Drosophila melanogaster: one gene and its partners. The protein of the gene in region 2 interacts with the protein of the main gene of each other region in a pairwise test. Each region holds a gene or a part of one and is shown on either strand. Other genes may lie near its edges.

The links.
Region 1: the proteins of t-Grip84 (region 2) and CG12768 interact in a two-hybrid assay, tested with the Drosophila melanogaster proteins (one large-scale study listed by BioGRID).
Region 3: the proteins of t-Grip84 (region 2) and CG15422 interact in a two-hybrid assay, tested with the Drosophila melanogaster proteins (one large-scale study listed by BioGRID).

What each region holds. Positions count from the first base shown.
Region 1 is NT_037436.4:22,908,513-22,913,506, forward strand, and holds the start of CG12768 (uncharacterized protein), read left to right. Parts: upstream 1-1,978; 5' UTR 1,979-2,060; intron 2,061-2,320; exon of another isoform or gene 2,321-2,639; intron 2,640-3,077; exon of another isoform or gene 3,078-3,243; intron 3,244-3,321; 5' UTR 3,322-3,413; coding exon 3,414-3,721; intron 3,722-4,751; coding exon 4,752-4,994.
Region 2 is NT_037436.4:7,588,100-7,592,914, reverse strand, and holds t-Grip84 (testis-specific gamma-tubulin ring protein 84), read left to right. Parts: upstream 1-1,916; 5' UTR 1,917-1,996; coding exon 1,997-4,183; 3' UTR 4,184-4,307; downstream 4,308-4,815.
Region 3 is NT_033779.5:4,003,351-4,006,186, reverse strand, and holds CG15422 (uncharacterized protein), read right to left. Parts: upstream 1,204-2,836; 5' UTR 1,132-1,203; coding exon 817-1,131; 3' UTR 517-816; downstream 1-516. Other genes in the region: CG15423 (uncharacterized protein), read right to left, coding at 1-74; CG34176 (uncharacterized protein), read right to left, coding at 1,805-2,056.

The DNA of each region.
Region 1 (4,994 bases), about 15 Mb from region 2:
GGTTTTAGAGTGGGCGTGGCAAAAATCGATACTCGAAAATATACTTTATATGGTTGGAAACGCTTCATTCTGCCTATTACATACTTTTCAACGAATCTAGTATACCCTTTTACTCTACGAGTAACGAGTATAATTATCTTAATATATCTTAATATCTCCTTTATAAAGGTGTTAATTTTGTGCACAAAAAGTGGGTAAATTTCCCATAGTGCAATGGAAACACCATTAAAGCGTCGTGTAAAAAAGTTGGTCAATTTTTTCTAATGGTTTGTACTGTTCCGGGATGGCACAACAACTTGGAATCACATTTATAAGTTTTTTTTGTGAATTGAAAAACTAAACTTAAATCGCAAATACATATATCAATAGAACAATATGAATGTTCTTACTACGTAAAATAATAGGCAATTTTCCCTGGCCCCTAACGGAACCGAAGTCGCCCTACTCAGCTGATTTTATCCCAATCTGACACGCCCGTGACATGCTGTTGCCTATCCGAAAATATTTGTGTACCACGGATTACATTGCAGTAATGGATTTAATTTAAGCTGTGGACCGCGTTCGACTCAACTGCAGATTCATCAGCGCCGAGAACGCATACTGATAAGTCGAATCAGAATCAGACAAAGCGGTATGCTGCGTTCTGCTGAAAAAGGAAAGGGAGAGCGAAAACACGGATGGCTGTGTTGGTGCGATTGATAAATACGAGTTCATTCTTAAAGCTTATTTTTTAGATGACCAAGCGGGAGACAACAACGAGTAAACAAGAGCAACAGCAACAGCGGGCAATAAAGTTGATTGCAGCAGTGGCAAATTGAATATTTGCCAGCGCGCGTGTGTGTGTGCGCAGCCTTTTTGTTTGTGCTTGTTCGCATTGTTAAATATCCGCACCAGCAGTGCAGCCAAATGGGATGATAGATGCCGAATGCCGAATGGCGCGCGAGCAGAGCGAGTGGCTACCATTGTTAATCCGCAGTTCGTCCTCTGTGCCCCTTGCCTCCTCCCTCGCTCATTCCTGTGCCACAGCTCAGCTTGCTACCAAAACTCGACCTCGACTTCATCCCTTGCTCTCTCGGAACTCTCATGCTCAAGCTGTTGCTTCAGCTACAGCTCAGCGTACAATTGTTGCTTTGCGGAGACTGCGCTCATTGCCGGGTGCTGCCAATCCTGGGTGCAATCCGTTCATTATTTATCCGGCTGGTGGTAAGCAAATAGCGCTCACAAGCCACTTAGTGCTATCACTCTTGGATTAATCACTGGGCACGGCTCGGCGATAACGTGTCACTGCCACAAACGGAACCGCAACGGCGATAAATATTTTTCACAGCGAAAATAACACTGCCTAACAAAGTTTGAAACACTGTGACTAGAACATTTCCAAACTTCAGCTATTTCTTCAGCTATCAGTTATATATTTTAGAATAGATAAACAGAATATATATAATGCCATTTATGTAATGATTTCGATGAATAGATAGATGGCTAATATTTTACCGGTACTCCACCAAGGTGTTTTAAAGAAGACGGCTTTAAAGGTTTCCTATAATATACATTTTTTTATTAAATTTCATTTTATTTATTTTAAAATGCGTCCCGTTTGAGTGGAGGATATGTCTAATATAGTCCTAAATAGATACCAAGTAAATATCTTTTCGTATCACTCCACACACACACAAAAAGTTGAGTTTATAATTACATTATTCACGCAGCCCTCTAGGCTCCCTCACTATGCCAATTTCTTTTGTTGTGTAGTGTAATAGCATAGGATTGGCAGCCTCCGATTGTTTACACCAGCGTAGGCGGCACTGCAACAACAACAATAGCATCCTCTGCTCTCATTCTCTCTCCCGTGCTTTGCGCTCTGGAGCGGAGCAGAAAAGAAAAGCGCCATTCGCTCACTTTCTCTCCGGCTCTCTTTGTGCTGCTGCGCCAATTTGCAAGAAAACTAAGTTGGTTTGCTGTGCAGTTGTGACAATCGTCGAGGAGAGCAGCGGCGCACTCTCTAAAAGGAAGCTGCCAAGCCAACGAACGGCCAAGCGAGAGGTGACAAGTGAAAAGTGGCAAGTGGATGTACCAAATAGTGACAGGTTCACTAGTAGTAATCGCAAGTTAGCTGCCCGTTTGGCTGCAGATTTTCGTCAAAGTTCGCTATTCGTGTTGTTTTTTGATGTTTTCGTCTCTCTCGGCTGTCCGCATAGGCAATGTGTGTATACATATACGCGATTTCACACTGACAACAGGGCCGGGCGCGTGTATGAGTGTGGTTATTTTGCCGTGTTGCCGAACATCTGTATCTGTATCTGAATCTGTGGCAGCCAATAGTTGTGGCAAGGCCCTCGAGCAACTCGCAACACAACACATAACAACAGCATCCCCAATAAGTGGCAGCAACTACGCCGCATGGCAAAGCACCAACGGCCGCATTTGTTGTTAATTGAAATAAATTGAAATAAATTCCCCGACTTTGCTGCTCATATTGTTAATAAAGAGAAGCCGGAGCGACGCAACAGCGAATCAGCAGCAGTAAACAAAACTGTGAGCAAAAGGTTTTAGTTCCATTCCAGGCGTCAGACGACTTTGAGTACAAGCGACAAACAACCAGAACATCTAAGGAATTCCGAGCGAACAATGTGAATAATGTTGGTATCACAAGCAATTGGTGGCAATAACCAAAAAGAGCACATGCGTTTATTTATAGACCCCAGTGTGTTCCCATTAGTGAGTGTGTGGCGTGCTGTGCACTGCAAATGAGTTCAAGCTGCAGCCAAAGAGAAGGAGGCGTCCTACCAATACCAATCCTTGTGTAGTCTTGTTCCCTCCACAATCAGATCGGTCGCAGACCAACAGTAGCAGCTGAAATTCCTCGATCGGCACACGAAATCGTATGTAAATACTTTCCTGCCGAGTCAGCCTCTCAGAATGCCAATGTTTACAGTATTCGATTATTGTTTAACTAACAGCCTCTTATGGGAAAGTGGAATACATACATTAATTGATGGGGGAGGTGGGGGTTGGGGTTTGTAGGGTCTGCTATAAGCAGATTTCCCGTATTTGATTTGTCCCCTCTGTTGTCTCAGTTTCAGTGGGACCCATACTCCCGAAAATCAATTGTATTTAACTGTGCGTATGCGATTTCGAAAACAAAAACACCCCTCCTGCTGGGGTCATTGCACCCAAGGTGCGTGGGTGCGTGTGTCAACACTTTTGAACCCCTAAGCACCCACCCGAGAAATACGCCGAAAAGTATGCAACGAACATGGCGACCATCAGCACAAGCAACTTTAACGATTTTCTCACCTCATTTCTATACTTACTTTGCAGCGCAGCATCCGGCGACACAGGACATGCGCAGTGGCCTTTTTGGTAGTTGCATTTCGGCCAACAGCGACTGAAAGAGCAGAGAGCGGAGGAGCATGGCCTTTTCCCGCCACAACATCGAGAAGCGCCGACTCATCGAGCTCGTGCGACTCAACCCAATCCTCTGGGACTGCCGCCTGCCACACTACAAGCGTTCGGACAAGCGAAAAGCCATCAAATGGAACGAGTTGGGGCGGCTCTTCAACGTTAATGGCGAGCGGGTGCAGCGCACGTTTACTTCGCTCCGCGAGATCTTCCGCCGCGAGCTGAACCACGAAAAGATGCTGGGCACCACGCGCTTCAAGTCCAAGTGGGAATACTACGATGCCATGGCCTTCCTCAAGGAGGTCATTCGGGAACGCAAGTAAGACGACGTTTGACCTGCCCTAAAATACTACCTTATGATATATGTAGATCCCGTTTAAGGGATTTTGGACATTCCAGTTATTTGTTCTAGTGTCTTTGGAAAAAGGGTTTACTAAATTCGTTGAAAAGTGTGTAACAGGTAAAAGGAAGCGTTTTCGACCATATAAGGTACATATATATATTTCTGAACAGGATCAATAGCCAAGCCTCGAGCTCAGGAACTATAAAATACCACACTTTTGAAAAATGTTTTCATTTTTCTTGGTTTCATTTTTTTTATCTTACCGATATACCAAAAACACTTTGGCTACGCCTCTTCTGAAAAATTCAAACCGCTCACAACAATTTTAATTCCCCAATATCTATCGACAAGCAAGGAAAATTATAGAATTTCGCGTTCGCACTAGCTGAGTAACGGGTATGTGATAGTCGGGTTTTCGACTACAGCAATTGTGTTCCGATTATAATCACTGAAAAAGTTGTTTGAGCAAATTCGGAGAGAGGTGACCGCGAAATAATCACCGTCACTTAAAAGCCTAAACATATTTACATATTCAACATTTAGATTTTGATTTTACGCGATTTTTAAGTTTTTATTGTTATAAGAAGAATGATTAGTGTAAGGGATTGGGAATATAAATGTCGAGATAGTTCTCAAAATAATACGCAAGTCACCTTCCTCGGTTACAATAAATTTACATTGATTTTACTGAAATCAAATCAAATAAAAACTAGTTAAAGAAAATAACTGTTGTCTACCGAATAAGAACAATGACGCAGATAAGAATATAAATGTCTAGATAATTCACAAGGATTGTGTGCAAGTCAAATCTAAATTTAAGCATTTAGGAAGGGTATACATAGAAATTCTATTAAAACTTTGAATTTGTTTCATGTGGTCGGTCCAGAACTGACCAACAGGCAAGAATGAAATGCATGCCTGCGGATCTGCATCATAGCACCTATCTGCTAACCTTGAGGCAAGCACCCGCTTTCCAAAAAAGCTAATTACAACTTTTGCTTTTTAGATCTCGCGAGCGCATCAAGCACGGCTCTTTGGATTCAGCACCAGTAGCCACAGGCAGCAGCAACAATAACAACAACTGCGTAAGCCGCAATAGCAGCAACAACAACAGCAGCAGTGCGGCCCTAGACGAATATCAGTACTTTGCTCCTAGCGACCCCAACAACCCGAACAATCAGCCCCAGCTGCAGCCCGAACCAAAGAGTAGTCTGCCAGTGACTATTCCCAGTCTAAGTCTCACCCTCAG
Region 2 (4,815 bases):
TGCTTTCCGCGTTTTGTTTATACAATTTTCTGGTGCGGACCGTGTGCGTGTGGCTTACTGGGGAACCCAGAAAAATCGTACTACTCGTACATAAATAATGCAATAAGTTGGGGCCCCACCGAATCGAGACAAAAACAGAAGGTGGAAAAATTGAAAAAAAAATCGAAACTGTTTTTGCATTCGCTGCACACATACACACACACCCATCAAACATCACACCTCTTCTGCTGTCCGAACACTCGAATACTTGAATACTCGGCTTTTAACCGAGCTTTGCACTCAATTTGATTGCCGGCAGAAGCGGCTGCAAAATCCACGGTAGTCACATGCGACACATGTGAAACACGCAGGGGAGGCCCATTTTACGGTGAAGGCGAAGGTGTTGCTTTTGTAATCGGCGGCCTAGGCACATTGGTCGCAAAACAACTAAAATGGGTGGTCAAATTTGGTATGTGACTCAGTTCAAAATATACAATATACATATATATCCAAATTAGATTATTAAATGGAATGTACAATTTGGAATAATCAAATATTTTTGAAATTATCTTCCTTGTCAAGTGGCAGTATACGACGTTTCATGTTAATATTTAATATGTTAATGTTAATGTTTAATATTTATTATTTAATTTAGAAATATTAAAACAAAGAAAGATTAACGCCCATGGTAGTGCAAAATTTGTTTTAAAATTAAAAAAAATATTTTATACACTTTTAATCGGGCATTTCTCCATATCATATTACCACTGTACTTGCACTAGTTCGTGTGTGGGCGTTTCTAGGCGATCCCTTGTACCGCGCCCAGTCTTCGAAGTGCAAGCGCCGCTAGGCGACGAAGGCAAACAAGTGTTTTGGGTGTCTGCTATACTCGTAAAATGCGAGGAGGATAAAAGCCCATGGAACGTCTATCGGAAAGCTTTTGGAGCGTAGATTAATGTTACTGGCTGTGGTCGGTCTGCTGGCCGTGTTGCTATTTTGTTATTTACCCGCTCGTTGCCAGTACGGTTATTTATTTATTTATGCTAATGTTGCTGGCAGAGCCGCTGACGCTGCATTTGCATTGTTTAGAATGAGAACAGCGAGAAAACGAGCGCAGCAACAAAAAGGGGGCACAGACAATAACAACAACTATAACAACAACATGTGCAACAGCAACTGCAGCTACAGCGGTAGCAACAAAAACACGACAAGTGGCACTCACGCGACAAAGGCCCATATATAAAGTGTTCTCATGGTTATCTCGTTGCCTGTGCGATACTTTCAAGTGTTTCACATGCAGAGGAAAAATTGATTTTTATCAATATAATAAACAATACACATATTCACATACATAATTCACTCACTGCAAATCATTTTCATTAAATCCAATTCATAGTTTTAAGATTTCACAAATTTGTTTAAGCACCCTAATAATATGTACCAAAAAAAAAATTTCTCACTGTGTGCGGATATTTTGGATACAAGCACATAGAAAGTTCGAAGTTCCCATCGCGTAGAAATTGATGGAAAATTCTCAGCACGTTCGTCAGTTGGTTCTGCTGCTCCGCTTGATTGACAACTGGGCGTCGGATCGCCCAGCTCAACTTGAATCGTTGAAGTATGGGCTTGAAATGCACCTGTGGCTCCAAACTTCGACGAAACCAGAGGCGAAGATGTCGCCGCTGGGCACGATGATCGATGGGGATCCAGATTCAAAACCAAGTTGATTTACCTCGACGATTCAGCGGATATCACCGAAAGTAACCACCTTTCACAAATGGCTAGAGTTAAGTTTGATAATAAGCAGAAATGGAAATCAGAACTAGCAGAAGTTAGGTGTACTCAGCACTAGCACCTATTGTTATAACAACCAAAAACTCTACTAACTTTACATATATTTAATTATTTAATTTCAATCTATCCAACATACCTTAGTTATTATAATCATTCAGAGAACACTTAAATAATTTTAAGCTTCGAAATCGATCTCTGTTCTTGATATATTTTCTTATTCACCATGAACTCCGACAAATCGGAAAGTGACTTCGCGAACAAAGTGCGCTTTCACCTCAGTAAGGACGAGCTGGAGCGGCAGATGAGGAAAATTCACGACCGTGAGGAATCCGTAGACGAAAAAATGCGTCCATCAGGAAGCGAAAACAGCGGTCATAATTGCAATACGAGCTCGTCCTCAAGTCTGCCACGGCAGGAGTCCTGGATCTTCGAGAGCGTTGGGGGTTACTTTCTCGCCAACGAAAATTTGGCCAAGATGAGTTTGCCTTGTCAGGAACAGTTGCTGATGAGGGATCTAATCTATGCCTTCTCGGGTGTTCCATCTGCATATGTAAAGCCTGATATTCAGATCGATCAGATTTCCGAAATGTCTGCAGTGGATATAGCCAAGATTCGCTTTCGATTGAAAAAGACCTTCACTGGGGCTTTTAGGGCTTTGGCCAATGAAACATTACCCCTGATAGGTTATTATATTAGTGTACAGAGCTATATAGAGGAGACCAATATGTCGCCTAACTGCGGAAGAACACGACTGACCTTAGCCACTGCCTTAAGTGATCAACTGCAGGACTATTATGATCTACAGTCCAAGTTGGAAACGGATTTGCAGGACAAGAAGTTGGATCTCAAGGATCTGGTGCGACAGGTGCGTCCTTGGTTGCCTATTTTGAAGACTTTTTCCAACATGGCCAGCAGTGCCCGTGGCAATTTGACCAGCGCCCAGGTCCTAACATTGCTGGACCAGTTCTACCGGGATCTGAAGGACACTGATATAGATCTAAAGGAACGAGTGAACAAAATTTTGACTTCGACTAGTCGAGCTTACATGAAAATTGTTCAGCTTTGGATGCAAAAGGGTGTTCTATTCGATACGCAGCATGAGTTTTTTGTGGAGGACACGGAGCCCTCGAGTACAATGAGCAGTACTCTTTTGGCGCCGGAGAAATGTTGCCACGCCTACTGGGCGGAACGGTACCGCCTTTTGCCAGACCGTTTGCCCGGTTTCTTGCTTTCCCAGGCGGATGATATTTTTCTGGCCGGAAAGTACCTAAACATTTTGAGGCAGTGCAATGTTTCATTGAAGCTGCTACAGCGGCCACTAGCTTATAGTCAAGGCGATTTGGGACATGAGGAGATCATTAAAACAAGCTATGAGCTGCCAGCACATAAGTTTCTCAAGGTTTTGGTGGAGGAGCACAATTTGCCTTTACACATTCGCAATTTGAAGTCCTATTTCCTGCTGCAGGAGGAAGGCTTCTCCGAAACTTTTCTGCACAAATGCCATGAGTACCTAAAGTACAATGTGGAAAGGTTAATTCCCGAGAAGCTACAGACTCTTCTAGCAGAGACCCTGCATAAGTCCAATGATTTCATTAAGGATAATGTTCGCTGTCAGCTTAAGGTTTGCGATGTAGCCACACTATTGGGTAGGCAACATAAAGCACAGAGAGCTGTAGAAGATGAAGAAGAGGAGGAGAAGGAGAGCTGCAGCGAGCAGGATCCTCCGGAGGTCCTGAATCTCTACGGCTACGAGGCATTAGCTCTTGGCTATGAAACAAAATGGCCACTAAGCTTTATTATCTACCCGGAGCTCCTAGAGCAATTGCAGATGTTACAGCGTGTCCTGTTTTTTTTGCACTATGTGAAACATCATTTGACAGTCCTTTGGCAAAGTCCTTGTGAGGGTACGGGTCTCCAGCTAACCAATCGATCTGGAAAACTTCGCCACCGCATGCTAATGTGTATGCTAAGTCTGGAAAACCACATCATCCAGGACATCACCGAACCCCGATGGCAATCTTTGACCTTAACGGTGGACAAGGCAAAATGTATCGACGAGGTACTAAACAAATTGGAGAGCACCGTAGAAGAATGCCTGCGTCTGGGGTTACTACCCACTGCCAACACGTTTGTGAAATCTCTATACACACTCGGTCATGTGTGTCTCAACTTTTGTGACTTTGTGGAATCCTCGATAGGAGAGAAAAGTACCAAAGAACTCGAGCAGGAAGTGGTCGAGTACGAAGAGGAATTTAAAAGCTTTTTGACCAGCATTTTGGAGTTGGTTAGCCAGTTGGCTAAGACGAAAGACATTGCGGAACGGGACTCCTGTAAACAATTGCTCAAACGACTTGGGGAGTTAATTGAGTTCTCCGATTTGGATAAGGATCAAATAGCTTCCAATATTTAATCAACGGCATCAAAACGTGTCCAACAGCTTCGCCAAATCACCCGTGCTTTTTACTCTCCATGACCCATGGAACATTTAGTGCTGTGTTTACTTAACTATATTATAAGAGCGTTCTTGCAAAATGAAGTTAACTCTTTCATTTACTTTATTAATCCTTTGAGATTCAAAAAGCTATCAATCCATTATCCACAAGTGTGAGCTTGTCTTATGCGTATGACACCTGTGGCGCTCTTCCACTTTTAAGTTATTGTTAAGTGGCGCACAATGGGCGTGAATAATCGATGTGTGCGTTTAATTTCTGGCCAACGAGCATTATGTCGAGTCACGGTGGCAAGTTTGGGGGCTAGTGCAACGAAAGCGGCGATTTGCATAAGATCGTAAATTATTTTAAATGGCGGTAAAGAGATTTTAATGCAGTCCCGCAGCCTCAGCCTCAGTCTGGGTATAGCCCGATTCGTTGGAGGGGCCAAAGCCCGCTGCCAATTTGAATTCAAAGGCCAATTGTTATGTAAATGCACTTGCCTCAGTTGCAGACGCACGCAAGCGCACGAAAATTGTATTAATAAATAAATGGGGGAAAAAAAAGGAAAACTCGCGAGCGGCTGTCCAGAAATCACTTAATACTTATCGCT
Region 3 (2,836 bases), on a different chromosome or scaffold from region 2:
TCCACCTCTACAATTGGCCTTCCACCGTGATGGTGATGATGGTGATGACGACGTTCCTCCTCGTAGTACGGCATTTTCTTCAGAAACTATCCAAGTATTGTATCCTTAGTGGGTGAAGTGAATGCCTTTGACTGCTTTCTCGAACTGAACTTGCTTCTTCGCCTGCTTAACTATTTAAGTCAATTTTTATCGCTAATGAGGGGGAATTTTTTTTCCTAATTTTGTTATGTGCGTTTTGCACAGTAGCTTAGTTGGTTATCTTGTCAGGTGGAATAAATGTGTTTTTTTCGATAAAAAAAAAATAAAATTGATAAGTGCCATTTGATAAATACGAAATTCCGAATTGAATTTCATGAGGAGAGTTCAAGGTTTCCATGAATCACAATTTTATATTTAAGAGGAAGGACTTAATTCCATGCTTCTGATTGATGACTCACACTAAATTACATAAACATAAATAAAATCGATAATGCAGTATTTAGAATATTTTTAGAATTAAAGACGGGTAGGTTTTTTGAAGAGCAAGATATTTTATTTATTTCGTTTTAAGGTTATATAGCACAATTATATTTTCTTTGAAACGGTTAAAGTTAAATTCCAGTTTTGTTTTTTTGTACCTTCCTCTGGTTATTAACTTGTTAACTTTGTGGTGCGTAATGTCAAGACCATTGCACCATTTGCGTTGTCATTTCAACTTAAGATTAGGACAAAGTGATATTTGTTTTGATTTCTTGTTATCTATCCCTTCCTTCACTCCATCGATAGTATATTTTTTTTTTGTTAGTGGTGATGGCTTCGTTTCCATTCCGACCTCGTTCACCACTGCGGATACGGTGGATTGTTGTAGGGCTGCTGATACTGGTACTGATACTCGTACGCCTGCTGCTGCTGCTGCGGATAGTATCCATTGGTGGTGGCCACCGTGACGCCGCCGTAGGGTTGCGGCATTATCACCTGTGTGCCGGGCACATAGGTAGCCGCCGGGGTCATGTAGACTACCTCGGCGGGCCGAGGCGGAGGCGGCGGCGGATAGTAGCCGCCACCCCAACCGGGAACCACATCAATTTCGATATTTGGACGACCATGGTGATGGCGAGGAGGATAGCCACATGGATCTTCATAGTACCGCATAGTTGATTAACTAGCCAAATAATCAACCAGCCAACCGAACCAACTTCACCACCCAGCAACGCGTTGAATACTGGAAAGTCCGTGGCACAACACGTCTAGCTCGAAACAAACTGGAACTGCGAAGCTCCATCAATCAGGGTTTGTGGGAATTATTCCAGTGGTTAGAGGCAAAGATAAGATGGCTTAGTCATTCGACAAGGTCTGATAACAGCGACCGGACAGTTGTGCATTTACAGGTGATCGGGTTTCGCTATTTTACTCGCATTTTGTTTACTATATTAACTGATTCCGGCTTATCTATGGGTAACGCGTTATTATTTCTGATATAGGAGCATAGAAGCATTGACAGAGCATTGGTGAAAATGAATTAAAGTTTTGCTAGACATTAACAAAACAACAAGTGATTGCCGTCTAAATTAACCAGGTGTTCCGATAAAGACTTAAAAAAAAAAAACACGGATTAGAGATTTTGATAATAAAAAGAGGGAGTGTGTGTGATGGAATCAACTCGATTGAAACTCAACCATTACTCATGACAAATATGCAAAAAAACTAAAAACTATAAACTAAAACTTAGTTTATAAGGTTATACTTTATTGAGGACATATAGTTGTTAAGTAAGGCTACGTGGTATAAATTCATTGTGAAGGATTTTACAGATCAAAGTTCCTTCTCAATACTGTGGATTGTGGTAGTGGCTGCTGCCGGGCGGTGGTGGTGGTGGTGGATTTTGGTAGTACGGTGGCGGAGGCGCCTGTTGCACCACCATGACTGGTGGCGGTGGCGGAGCCTGCTGCTGCACCACCACAACTTGGGGTGGTGGGCGGTGATGGCGGCGTGGCCATGGTGGTGCAATCTGTACCTTAATCACGGGTCCACGACGATGAGGCGGTCCGCCGCAATGATCGTGGGGTGGTGGTGGCATAGTGGTGCACTAATCTTCTGTAGAAAGTCCGTCCAAATGTGTCGACTTATCGCTGGTAACTGAATTAAGCGAATGCCCAACTCATGGGACTGACTAACCAAACAAACGCCAAAATATTTGCCGTCATAAAAAAGCTCAATATCAGCATTTGCTGATAGCGAATAGGTAGGTAGGTACTCTTAATTATTTCTATTGACGAAAGTATTGCTTCTAGAGCAAAGTTATCGATAAATAAACTGAAAATTGGCAAATGGTAAAGCTTTTTTCGAATAAGCTTTTCAATTCAAATTTGAGCCTGCATATCAATAGATTTTCCTCGTTTCTTTAATGAGTCATGTTTGGTTTTTTCCGGGGATTTCTCCTTAACTTACATATAGTCATGTAAATACTTGTTTAAAGTTTTAAAAAGAAATAAAGTATTTCGTTGTCACGAAGAAAGGAAATGAACCAACGTGCAAATATTTGTATTTGGTTAAATGCGATTAAATTCCTTAACTCTAGTGAAAACAAACTTTAGCTTGAGAAAATGTTGTCAAGCCACAAATATTTATCCAATTTTCAGCCCCGAAAAATTCCCAATAATTCTTTACACATTTTCCTTAGCCGGCAAATATTTGGCAAACATTTGCACGTCTATTATGCAAAGTTTGCAGACACGATTTTGCCTCGAGGGGCGACGTGGGTAAATATTAAATGTATGGATAGAAAAACATGGTAATTTCTGACGGTCAATCAAGAAAAGTCTCTCGGGACTCTCTGAATCTCAATCACTTGATCAAA